Caenorhabditis elegans: one gene and its partner. Each later gene encodes a partner of the first gene's protein in a complex. Each region holds a gene or a part of one and is shown in the gene's direction. Other genes may lie near its edges. The genes, in order: gld-2 and rnp-8.

Region 1 (5,062 bases):
TTAACCTACTAAATTTGTTATAGTGTACCCATTTTCTGTCACTGTCATCAATGCCTGTCTAGTTTGATAATCTGTGAGATAATTTTTCTACAAGTCTGTAACATGTTTTTTTTAAATTTTACTTTTTTTGAGATTAGTCTTTTTTTCGAGTCTTTGAATTTTTCATACAATAAACTGTTCTCGTATAGCCTTGACTGTTTTTAAATCTATAGCATAATACATACGCTTTATGGCAAAATTACAGGAGAACTATGTTTTAAATTTAAAGTAGACCTGATTACGCGACATCTCTGGAATCTTTTTTGACCTACGGGCGCAGGCGCGACGATTGCGGAAACATAATTTCAACTGCGTACTAATGAAGAGATGGAAATGCTTATTTTTTGTGATTTCTAAACTTTTGAATCTTCATCATGACCACCGAACGTGTTCTCCAGTATCCGAATTTGTTAAAAATCGTCCCATATCTCAGTTACAGTAAGAGGTTCGTTAATTTTTTTTTTCTGATTAAAAACAGTGAAGCATTACATTTTTTTATAGAATGGAGCTTTCGAAAGTTTCTCCAGAATTTCGATCAATTCACAGTCGATTAGACTATTCACTGAAGACTATGTCATTCTCTCAGGATTACGGAGCAATCAGTGAAGAAGGACCAATAGAAGTAGGATCAGGAATTTTGAAGGTGGAGTCAATTGAATATATTTTTGAATACGATGAGAACATGGATCAAGTGAAAATCAAATGTTTGTTGGCCCCGGAACTTGTGAGATTCTCGAATGATAAGTCAATAATCAGAAGATATTTTCATTATTACCTGGCCGCTTCACAACGAATTGTTCAGCATGTCAAACTCAGGGTTTGTGAATTCATTTTTCGATTATTCTTGTTGATTATAAATTACATTTCAGGAAAGTGACAGTCCATTTCGAAACCTTCAAAGCCTAAAAATTCCATCCATTTCTTGGACTCTAAACGGAGCTAGAGAATATCCTCAATTCATCAATTTCCAAAACCATGTTTTTGAGAAATTAGAATTAATCAATTACGAATCGATCGTATTGACGGAAACCCAGGTATTAAACGCATGGTCTATATTTTCATTCAATTTACGTTTTTAAGGTGAAAAGTTGCAAACACCTTGTACTAAAAAAGGAAACAATTTACCAGGAGTACACCGTTGGAAACGAGAACAGTGCCATCAGAAATTTCTATTGTATCCTGAGCAATATGAAGTTGGAATTGGTTTTGGGACTGAATTACGTCGAATCTTTTATTCTGCTTTGTAACGTAAGTCATTTCGCCGGTATTTGCTCCTTTTATTTCTCGTATTATAGCGTCTTCTTCTCGACACCCTTCACATAGGATCATCTGTCACTGCAATTTTCATCAAGGAACCTCTTCTAAACGTTTGGAGAACCCTATTGGAACGATATGAAGACTCGCGAGGAACTTTTATGGGTTCCGGACACCGAAAGTGTGCTATATTGTCAACTGACAATAATATCAAGGTAGCAGTATTTGAAAATTATTTCGGGAAAGACTCCAATGGAAAAGAGAGTTTCACGGCAATCAAAATGAACAACAACGTGGAATTTGATGCCTAAATCATTTATTTCTCATATTGAAGGATTTTAAATTCACTAACTATACAATTAATTATTGCAATTGTCTTACATTATATTGGATAAAATTCATCTTATTTTTATTTTCGTTTAGAAGCAGTGAAACCATTTAAAATGAAACGAAAAGAAATTCCACGTCGCATTTTCGAATATCGACGTGACCATTCCACGTGAATCATTTCCGTTTTTCGTTAGTTTTTGAATTAATTTTTTGTTCAATTTTTACCCTGAAAATGCAGCAAAATCAAGAACACAACGACTTGCCGAATTCGAACTGTTTCTCAGTTGCGCATGGAAATTCTACCGTACGCCAAAAGGGTTTTTTTTCTTCACAGCTTAAAGGCGCAATACCTGACACAGTGCATGGGTCTCGCCGCGAGATACGGTAAGCGAGCGCCAACGCCACGCATTGAAAAGGCGCTGAAATTTGATTTAAACTTCGCTTTTCAGCTCGCTTTCTGGCAGTTTTTCCGACGATTTCCGTCGGAGATATCCGTCTAATTTTGTCGCCAATATGGTTATGGCTCAACAGCAGAAAAATGCAGAACGAAACGGTGAGCAATCTGAGTTTTCAATCAAAACTTTATTTGAAATTGAGAATCGATTTTTGAGCCAATCTCAACCTTCTCATTCTTTTAATTTATGATTTATCTTTTCAGACGAACACACTCGACGCAACAGATCTCCTTCAGTCGATTCAGTAAGCCGTGTGCAGCAGCAAAGTGGGGGCTTTGCATTTTATAATCAGCAGTCAAACCATCAATATCAGCAATCGCATCCACGACGTACAAGCTTTTCGAGGGATGGGAACACTGGATACTACAACAACCATTCAGGAAATAAAAGACGTCAGTCAGAAAAATTATTGACTTGCTACCAAATTGTTCATTTTCAGAAACCTACAATAACCAGCGCGGCGGACGCAGTTACAATCATCGCGGGAATAGCAATTATCAACAGAATGGCGAGTATTCTGGGAATCAGGGATGTGTCCCAAAATATCATCAAAGGAATCAAAAGTAGAAAATCGAATTTCGTTTTTGCTATTCCTATTAAAATCGGTATTTCAGTTACCCTCAACTGCAACCAAAGTATTCCTACTTCCAACCACATCAGAGACCAATTTTTAACTCGACCCAGGGTAGGAAATTGTGATTGACATAATTTTAGATTAATAGCCTTACATATCTCCCCTAAAATAATAATCTGAACTAATATGAAGAATAAATAAATTTTTTTCAGGTTACGGCACATATTCTGTCCGTCGGTCATCGCCACCATCTCCATCAGCTCTATCAAGCTCAACAGCGAATTCCACATCAAACCGAGCTCCGACGCAGCCTCCAATCCTGCTCAGGCACGCTGAGCCAGCTAGTGATAAGAATCATCAAGGAAGCGATCATGAGCAAAATCATGATCCTAAAATTCATTTGTACAGGTCGGCTGGCACCGCACCGGGTGGATATACTCAATGGTAAATTTGTTTTCCAGGCCTGTATTTCGAATTTGAAGGTTTCTCATTTGATCTACCATAAATGCCCAGATGGTTTATTGCTTCGAAAAGAGTGGCATTTTTTGGCGGTTGTGTTTTGGGAAATGATAATTAAATTTTACAGGAGAATTTTTGAGCCTTTGTATTTTATCTAAATCTAATTTCATCTCATCTAAAAATTATAATTTATAGCCCATCTCCGTACAAACAGCCACCACCACAACCTCCGTCTACACCATCATCTTCCGATAAACGGATTGAGCAGCAACAAGCAGAGGATTGGCCGACGCGGTTTCAACATCCTCCTCCACAATTCAGACGCGGTGAGTGTTATTTTTTTCATTTAAAAATTTTCTAAGTAATATTTTTAGGGCAGGATCCAATGCCAGCCTCAATAGAGCTCCAGCATAAGACCGCCAATCAAACGATGCCAGTTGATATTGTACAGACGAATCAGCAGAAAACTGTGTCATCTTATGAGAGGGCTGCACAGTTTAGAGGTTGGTTCAAGTCATAAGCTCTACTTTATGTTTTATTCAATTACTTTTTTCAGCTTCTGCAAGTGAACTACCAACGGACAGTGTCGATGCAAAACACCCGTGTTTCGCTAACGAGCGTATGCAAAGTGCTTTAATCGGGTTAGTTGGAACAAATCTCAAATTATTTCAAATTAAATTTTAGTTCTTTAAATGCTGAATTCTGTCTTCTGCCCAGTATATAATTATATATTTCCCACGTTATTCTGATACTAGTTCTGAGATTCGGGGAAACTCATTGTCGGCTTCATCAGCTAACTAATAATTATCTTGAATGACATTGCTGGAATGTGTCCTCTGCCCTTGTCACTTCATTATTATTTATTCGTATCTTCTCATCTCATTTCCTGTACTGTTCAAAGAGAATGTCCTCCGTCTAGTAACTAGAAGCATAACCAGTTCATCATCAACAACAATCAATGGTGGAAAATCGGATATTAGACTATTAAGAAAAACTAATAATTTTCGGAATACACTCAAGGGATCATTTATCCATGATATTCAAGAATTCGTGGTTATTTTTTTATAGAACTGAGAAGAACGGTAACTTGACAACTTTCATGTTGATGTTATTTCTCAAAAAACCAAGTTTACACTTATAAATTCTGAAGATTTTTTGCAAGACTGCTTACGATTAGTTTAAACATACACTTTTCTGTTGGTTTTATCATCTTGTCTCTAGAAATTTCTCGGTTTTACTTCCTCTGTCAGGTTTTTCTTTTGTATTTTTTAGTTTCTAATTCCATAAAATGGAAACAATAACACGATTAACAGCGGCTGTAATTTTGCATAGATTAAAAAGTTTATATTGTCAATAGTTAGACAAAATTGAAGTTTTTCATTTCCAATGGCAACGCCTACGAGACATTCCTCTTGTAAACGATATCATCTCCAGATCTGAACATCTTTATTGTTCTACTCTATTTTCTGTGTTTCGTCTTGATCATACCCGTAGTGTTTCGATTTTTGAACTTAACTATGATTAGTTTAGTGACTATCGGATAATATTTAGGAGACCGAATTATAGTTCGTGTCGAATTATGTTATCTTTATGAACACAAGGAATATATTCTACCTAGGCCAGCTAGGAAATTGCATCTAAAAAGTTGCGTGTTCCACTTGATTGGACTAAAAGTTTTTTTTTTAACATGAGCGGATAAACAAAGAATATCGAAGATATTTCAAATGAAATTCATAAACTTACCAATCATCTGCAGGTGGAACTAAAATAGTAAAATGACATTTATCCGTTCACTTTACACCTTTCTTCACTCTCATCTTTCTCTTTTTCACTGTGATTTTCACCCGACCACGAAAAAAGTGAAAATCTGCAGGCAGTCCCTATGTATCTCTGACTTCTTCTTTCTCTCCTTTTCGTCCTTTTTTATTATTATTGTTAGAAATGACACAGC
Region 2 (6,515 bases), 6.0 Mb from region 1:
TTTGTGCGCGCATTTGAAAAAACTCATTCGGACGCAAATAATATTCACGAATTTAAGCTGAAATATAATATCAGGGAAATTTTTTTGTTTTTTTTTCATACAGATATTCTGAATCAGAGGAATTTTTTTTAGTTATTTGAAAATATTTCCTAGATTTCGGAAATCAAAACAGCAGCTTTTGTACAACAGCTTTTTTTTAAATGTAAAACTTGTTTAAAAGTCAAACCACGTCCATTTTAAAAATTAATTTTTTAACTTATAAAATAAAAACATGTGGAATGCTTTTGCATGTACATTTATACAAGTTTTTTGAGAAAAATACATTTAAATTTGAAAAATGTGTTTACTAAAATTCTGATCAATTTTTTTGTTATTATATATTAATAGCTGAACTTTACTTTAAGACAAAAATTCCTCTAATTAAAATCTACCTTCAAACCATTTTTTCAGTTTTTGCAAATTCTCCTCGGAAATCGCAGTAGGACTGGGAGCTAGATCATTGAGTGGCGAGAGAAAATCACGGAAATTTTTCAGGCGATTTTTCAGGCCCCATGTTGCCTCCCATCCGTATTTTGGTTTCATGAGAGATTGGAGATCATGAAATAAATGCAAAAAAGCATCCAGCGAGGTGGTGATCTTTTTCAGTGATTCTCGCTGTAGTTGAAGATGTGGGAGCTTCTTAAGTAAATTTACAGCTTCTTCTCTATCCTTATAAACTTTAGTGTTCTTCCTTTTCCCGACAATCTCCTCGAAAGCTCTCTGCTCATCCCATCCGCCAATAGATTTTGTTTTGTAGAAACTTGAAATCCTATCAAAATCGATATCCCGATCTAATAGCTGATTCGTCAGATCCGTAGAAGCGATTTCGCCGCTGAGAAGCCCATCGACGATAAGATAGCAGTTAAGGAGCGGTGGTAGTGAGCTCATCCAGTGAATCCACAGGTTTATGGAGTCCTTTCCGTAGACTGAAATTATTTTTAATATTAAAGTAGAAAAAAATTATTATATAAACTAACTATACGCAGGAAAACTCGCATTAAGTTCCAGATTTCGATCGAAGAATTGTGGATGTCCAGCTGGAAATTTTTATTTAAATTTAGTAAATTTAGTGAAGAAATTTAATTTAAAAATACCTGTCAAGCGCTGACCCTTAATCTGCTCCAACATTTGAATACCTTGCCGCTCCCTTTCCGAAATTTCGAGATCTCCGCAGTGTTTACCCGGTAGAAAAACAAGAAGAAAGGGAATTATCGTTATAATCATCGTTATCTGGAAAAAAATTAATTTTCATGGAATATATTTCAAATTTTCGACAACCAAACGCTGAAAATTCACATTTTTTTCAGGAAATTTGGTTGAAAAATCTGTTTTTCATAATATTTTGAGAAAAAAACAAGCGTAAAGGTATTCAAGGCGCATGCAATTCACTTAAGCCAGGGTCTCGAAGCGAACAGAAAACATACGGTATTTGAAAATATTCTTGTTTTCCGCGGAAAGTCGCAGAATTTAATTTGATTTTTTTAACTTAAAAAAACAGAAAATTAACCGTTATACCTTTTGAGCAAAAAATTCTACAAGATAATAATTTAAAACAATTAAAAATTGAATAAACATTGAAAATTAAATGCTTAAATTTCAAGGCGCGTGCATCAAACTTTTGTTTGGGTCTCACACCGAATGTAACAAGTACGGTAAGAGTGCGCGCTTATTTTCATTTTTCGAATTTGTGCGACCAGTTCTCATGTTTTTTAAACGATTTTTGCGGTAATTTTGGCCATTTTTTCTAGTTCCCACCGACAAATTGCATTATTTCCGTATTTTCAACGAAAATTTTGTTAAAAAACCAACAAAAATTTAGAAAATTGCATCATTTTGCAGGGATGAATGGTCAAGCGGATCGCTGCGACCGAACCGCCTACGTTTCGGGTCTTCAGCCGACAATCTCCGACATAGAACTGTTCGAGGTGTTCAATCGTGTCGCTCACGTCGAGAAGGTCATCGTTCGCAATGGAGCCGCCCGTCACGCGCTCATTGTTTTCAAGTTGGCATTTTTTTTCCATTTTTCCTCATCTAAATCTCTAATTTTCCTATTTTCAGAACTGTTCAAGGCCTGTATCAGGTGCTCGTAAACTTTCAAGGAACAACTCTTCACGGCCGTCAGCTGCACATTCGTCCACTGCGAGAAAGTTCGCACGCGAACAGCGAGGCCATCTCAACGATGTTCGAGAAGGTCAAACATCAGGGAAATTCCGGGAATTCTTCGTATCGTCAAGAGCACTCGTTCCCCGAGTACCGAAACCAGAACCCACAGGCTTCATCATACCTTCCACCGAATCCACGTGGTCATCGAAACTCGACGGGCTGTTTCAATGGTGGCGGCGGGGGCTATGGACGCCGACGTTCCGCCGGTGGATACAATCAGTACAATCAGAACAAGTATCCGAACGAAACGTACCCGGGAATGACTCTGTTCGATAATCATCCAGTGCAGCAGTATTCGGGCTTCAATCCCATCGATTTTCGCTTTGATGACTATGTGGAAGGAGCCAAAAGGTGCAAAATTCGCCAAATTTCGCTAAAAAATCTGAAATTTCGCCGACTTTTCCCGTAGCGCAGCAGTTTTTTCTTGATTTAGGCACATTTCAGGCAATTATTTTCGGCAAATCAATATTTTTCCACCATATATGTTCTAGAATGTTTTAGATGTACTAGATTTTATTTTCAGACGAATCAAGTGATTTTCTATATTTTTACACTATTTTTTGTTGAAATATGACCAGAATATGCAACAAAGTGTTCCAGCTGCTGCGAAAAGGAAAAATCGGCGAAATTTCGAATTTCAGTCTATTTTAATCTGTTTAAGCAAAAAGAAAACTAATTTTTAAAATTCAGATTCGACAACCTTGCCAACCTGATTCGCTCGAGCACCCCCACGGATCCGTTCGCTAATTATCAAAAGTATTTTTGAATTATTTTGAAAATCAATAAATTGGTTTTTTTTTCAGACCTTGTGAATCCACAAGCACATCTCGTTCTCGTACGAATTCAGCAAAAGATCAAAAGCATGGCCCGCCAACGTGGAAAATGGAGCTGCAGATTAAGAAAGATGACCACCACCACGCCGGCGGCGGAGCAGCAACCACAGGACAGAAGCTGTCCCCACAACAGTTTTTGGCTCAGATAGCTCAGAGACAACAATCGGAGCAAAACGCGGATGAGGTGGCCAAGAAGAAGCGTCCGAACCTTTCGGTTATCAATCCATCGCTTTTCTATGAGCAATACCCGAGAACATCGTCGCCAGTTGTTTATGCTTCAAAATCTAGTAATATTTTTTGGAGATTTTGGGAAAAAAACAAATTTTCTCGAAAATACGCCCGAAATAGTGTTTCACGCGAAAATTGGCGATATTTCAATTTTTCTGAAAAATTGCTATAATTTTTTCGATTTTCACGTGAAATTGCAAGTTTTTGGATATTTTTCTCGAAAAACGTCAATTCATCGATTTACGCAGCTAGTATACTCAGCAATTGACCATTTTTTTGCAGACAATTTGGTATTTTTTACTTAAAATTCTTGATTTTCGACTTCTCGTGTGCTAATCACTTTTTCAAATGCGCGCCCGAAGAATTTCTCATTGGAGCGTGCTTGCTTCGTGTAGATTTACGAGAGCTTTCCATTTATTTAACTTCTTTCGTGCTTTTTCAGTTTTCCAGCGAGTTTCTGGCTCGACCCCTCGGTGTATTTTGTGCAAACACCGTCACGCGCAAATGCATGCACTTTTTCAACGCGCTGCGTGAAAATTCCTCTTGCGATTTCAAATATTTTTTCCCGCCATTTTCCAAAATTTTCGAGAGGGGGGGGGTCGAGCCAGAACACCTTGGTTTTCCAGCGAGCTTCCTTCATTTACGTCGATTTTTTTTTTAATCTTCGTTAAAGTTCTAAAAAAAAACGACTTAAATCATTTTAAATTTTCCAAAATTCGGTTTTCCTTCTGCAAAAAAAATCAATTTCCAGAACCATCCGGCCACTACGACGACAAAATCGCATCTCCACACGATCCGGCAGTTCTCGCTTACAGTCGCCTTCGTGTACCTCAATCGGCCTTCGACAGTCTCTCACCAATCGACACCGACAATTGCTCATTCATCACAAAACACTTGGGACCAACAACCGGTGTGAAGCGTGATTTGACGAACGACGAGTTGTCGGATATGATTGTATCAACTGGAAATCTCCGAATCAATCCAACCAACATCGATCATCATGACGAACCGGCACCATGGTCTCCGCTGAAACGTCTTCGCGCCGAAAGTGGATCCCTATCAACTGCACAAGTCGCGTCGCCCGAGTTCTCACCGATCAAACCAAAGACAATGGAGTTCCACGAGACTGAGGATGATGTTTTTGAAACTGGACCACCACCAACCTACTTATCCGAAGGAAACGAAAACGCGGAGAAGAAATGTGTTGAGCAGCCGAAAATCAACTACGACGACATTAATAATAGTCGTCTTCCGTCGAATTCTCATTCGGCAGCACCGAATTCCGAGAAGAAGCATTTCGTTTTTCCGGTACGGGGGCTTTTTTTTGAATTACCGAAAAAATTCCCAACTTTTTAAAGTTCAAAAAAGTCAAAATTTTTGTCCATTTTCTGGGCGTGACTGCTTATGCCCCGCCCCCCTTTTTCGAAGTTTCTGCTTCTCGGAAAATGTATTCCCAAAGTGCCAGTTTTGAGGCCCCACGAAAAGGGAGCAGAACGAAAGAGGCACCACGGATTCAAGATCTGGTGCGATTCCGGATCTGGCACCGTGCCAACAACTTGAAAACGTGGTGCCTCTGAAAATTTGCTGCCAAGGTTGAAATATCGAATGCATTACCCGTAAATCGACACGAGCTACAGTAACCTGTTATCCGCGTGGCGAGACCCATGCGCGTCAGATGTGGCGAAAATTATACTAAAACCTGTTTAACTTGCAGAAAAACTTAATTTTTTTTGTTGAAAAAATTGAGCCAAAAGACTCAAAAATTTCATAAAGCGAAACTTTAAAAAAATATATAATTTGTTAAAAATTTCACGAAATATTTATGAATTAATTAATTTTTCCAGGAATACCCAATGTGCCGTCACTCGTCAGTTCCATCGATTGCTCACTTGGTCGGTGATCTGTCGGACTTTTGCCCACACGCTACAGCCGACGAGAAGATGCTGCTCGACGAGGCGTCTTCAATCATCGAAAATACAACTCCAGCAGTGTCTACTGCTCCGGCTGCTGCTCCAGGAGCTACAATGCTCCAAATATAGGAGAAGATCACATATACAATAATATAATCTTATTGCATTTTCGCAATTCTCGTTCTCTCCACACACATACACACATCATCCCAAGTATTCCTGTGCTGAATCTCAGTTTGAATGATGTTTCATACCGTTTTTATCCCACTATTGCCTTATCGTTTCCTGTTTTATTATATTTTTCATTTTTTATATTGCCACCACCACCACCAACACCACCCTCTCTATCTTTTTTTGTTCTTTTGCCTCCAGCAACATCATCACCTAGTTTTCTGTGAATTTTGAATTTTGTGTTCCCCCGAGTCCCCTCTGATAGGAATGATAGGAAAAACAATGAAAATGCGAGTTTTTTCAAAAAAAAAAATACAAACTAGGAAACTATAGAAACAAAAAAAAAACATTTGAGGCGCAGTACCGAAATCTCTCCAAATTTGGCCCGAAAAATTCAAAAGAAAATATTTATTTTTCTAAATTATTATTTTTCCGCCACTCCAGCCTCATTCTCATTGGAGCGCGCAAAGTCATGTCGATTTACGAGATTAAGATTTTCAACGAGTTTCATCATTGTTATCGATTTTCGTGTAAAGTTAACTAATTTTTTTGAAAATTTTCGCAAAAAATTTTGGATAATAAAATGTTCAATTGGCACGAAAATGCAGATCTTCAGCAAAAAAACCGACAGAAATGTGTAAAACTGAATCTCGTAAATCCACATGGCATAACGCGCTCCAATGAGAATGTTTTTAGCGAAAAGTTTGAACAAAGGAATATCAAATCAGGGCCAAATTTGGAGCAATTTCTAAAATATTTTCTCAATTCTTTCGGTATTCCACATTCAAACAATTATTCGGCCGTTCCCATGAGCCTCTGAATCTCGATGGGATCCCTTGGCACTGCAGCAGTCAACAGCTCAATCCCTCCAGCTTCACTAGTCGCCACGTCATCCTCGATACGGTATCCAATGCCACGAAACTCTTTGACAGGCCAATCCATCGGAACATACACTCCCGGCTCAATGGTAAATGGCACATTCGGTGGTAGATCAATGTCTCGGGATACTGTCGGACAATCGTGAACATCCATTCCGAGATAATGACTGACGTGGTGGGGACACAGCTTCTCCGCCTGATGAATCATCTCCTTGTGATCCGTAGATCGAATCAGGCCGAGTTCGGTGAAACTTGCCGCGAGAAGTTCGTTCATTCGGCGGAACAGGGCGCTT

What was found.
Region 2: the proteins of gld-2 (region 1) and rnp-8 are in contact, whole or in part, in a crystal structure (PDB 5JNB), measured with the Caenorhabditis elegans proteins. Residues at the interface, in NP_491842.2 of Caenorhabditis elegans: Trp554, Asp564, Leu567, Leu571, Arg574, Tyr578, Val584, Phe585, Pro586, Leu587, Ser588, Gly589, Leu590, Tyr591, Val592, Leu597, Gly599, Met612, Ile613, Thr614, Asn615, Lys616, Leu618, Asp623, Val626, Val627, Asn629, Leu632, Ser633, Gln636; in NP_490724.1 of Caenorhabditis elegans: His182 (codon at 2,480), Pro183 (codon at 2,483), Val184 (codon at 2,486), Gln185 (codon at 2,489), Phe190 (codon at 2,504), Ile193 (codon at 2,513), Phe195 (codon at 2,519), Arg196 (codon at 2,522), Phe197 (codon at 2,525), Asp198 (codon at 2,528), Asp199 (codon at 2,531), Tyr200 (codon at 2,534), Val201 (codon at 2,537), Gly203 (codon at 2,543), Ala204 (codon at 2,546), Arg206 (codon at 2,552), Phe207 (codon at 2,894), Asp208 (codon at 2,897), Asn209 (codon at 2,900), Leu210 (codon at 2,903), Ala211 (codon at 2,906), Leu213 (codon at 2,912), Ile214 (codon at 2,915), Arg215 (codon at 2,918), Ser217 (codon at 2,924), Thr218 (codon at 2,927), Pro219 (codon at 2,930), Pro222 (codon at 2,939).

The regions. Positions count from the first base shown.
Region 1 is NC_003279.8:6,367,893-6,372,954, forward strand, and holds the start of gld-2 (Poly(A) RNA polymerase gld-2), read left to right. Parts: upstream 1-1,855; 5' UTR 1,856-2,007; intron 2,008-2,072; 5' UTR 2,073-2,136; coding exon 2,137-2,176; intron 2,177-2,281; coding exon 2,282-2,470; intron 2,471-2,517; coding exon 2,518-2,641; intron 2,642-2,692; coding exon 2,693-2,763; intron 2,764-2,864; coding exon 2,865-3,096; intron 3,097-3,306; coding exon 3,307-3,437; intron 3,438-3,485; coding exon 3,486-3,614; intron 3,615-3,667; coding exon 3,668-3,752; intron 3,753-5,062. Other genes in the region: ZC308.4 (F-box domain-containing protein), read left to right, coding at 414-484, 541-856, 909-1,073, 1,120-1,287, 1,335-1,604. UniProt on the Caenorhabditis elegans protein: Cytoplasmic poly(A) RNA polymerase that adds successive AMP monomers to the 3'-end of specific RNAs, forming a poly(A) tail.
Region 2 is NC_003279.8:362,639-369,153, forward strand, and holds rnp-8 (RRM domain-containing protein), read left to right. Parts: upstream 1-1,871; 5' UTR 1,872-1,880; coding exon 1,881-2,041; intron 2,042-2,097; coding exon 2,098-2,553; intron 2,554-2,892; coding exon 2,893-2,958; exon of another isoform or gene 2,959-3,005; coding exon 3,006-3,322; intron 3,323-4,014; coding exon 4,015-4,571; intron 4,572-5,107; coding exon 5,108-5,302; 3' UTR 5,303-5,941; downstream 5,942-6,515. Other genes in the region: icpp-55 (Aminopeptidase P N-terminal domain-containing protein), read right to left, coding at 6,137-6,515.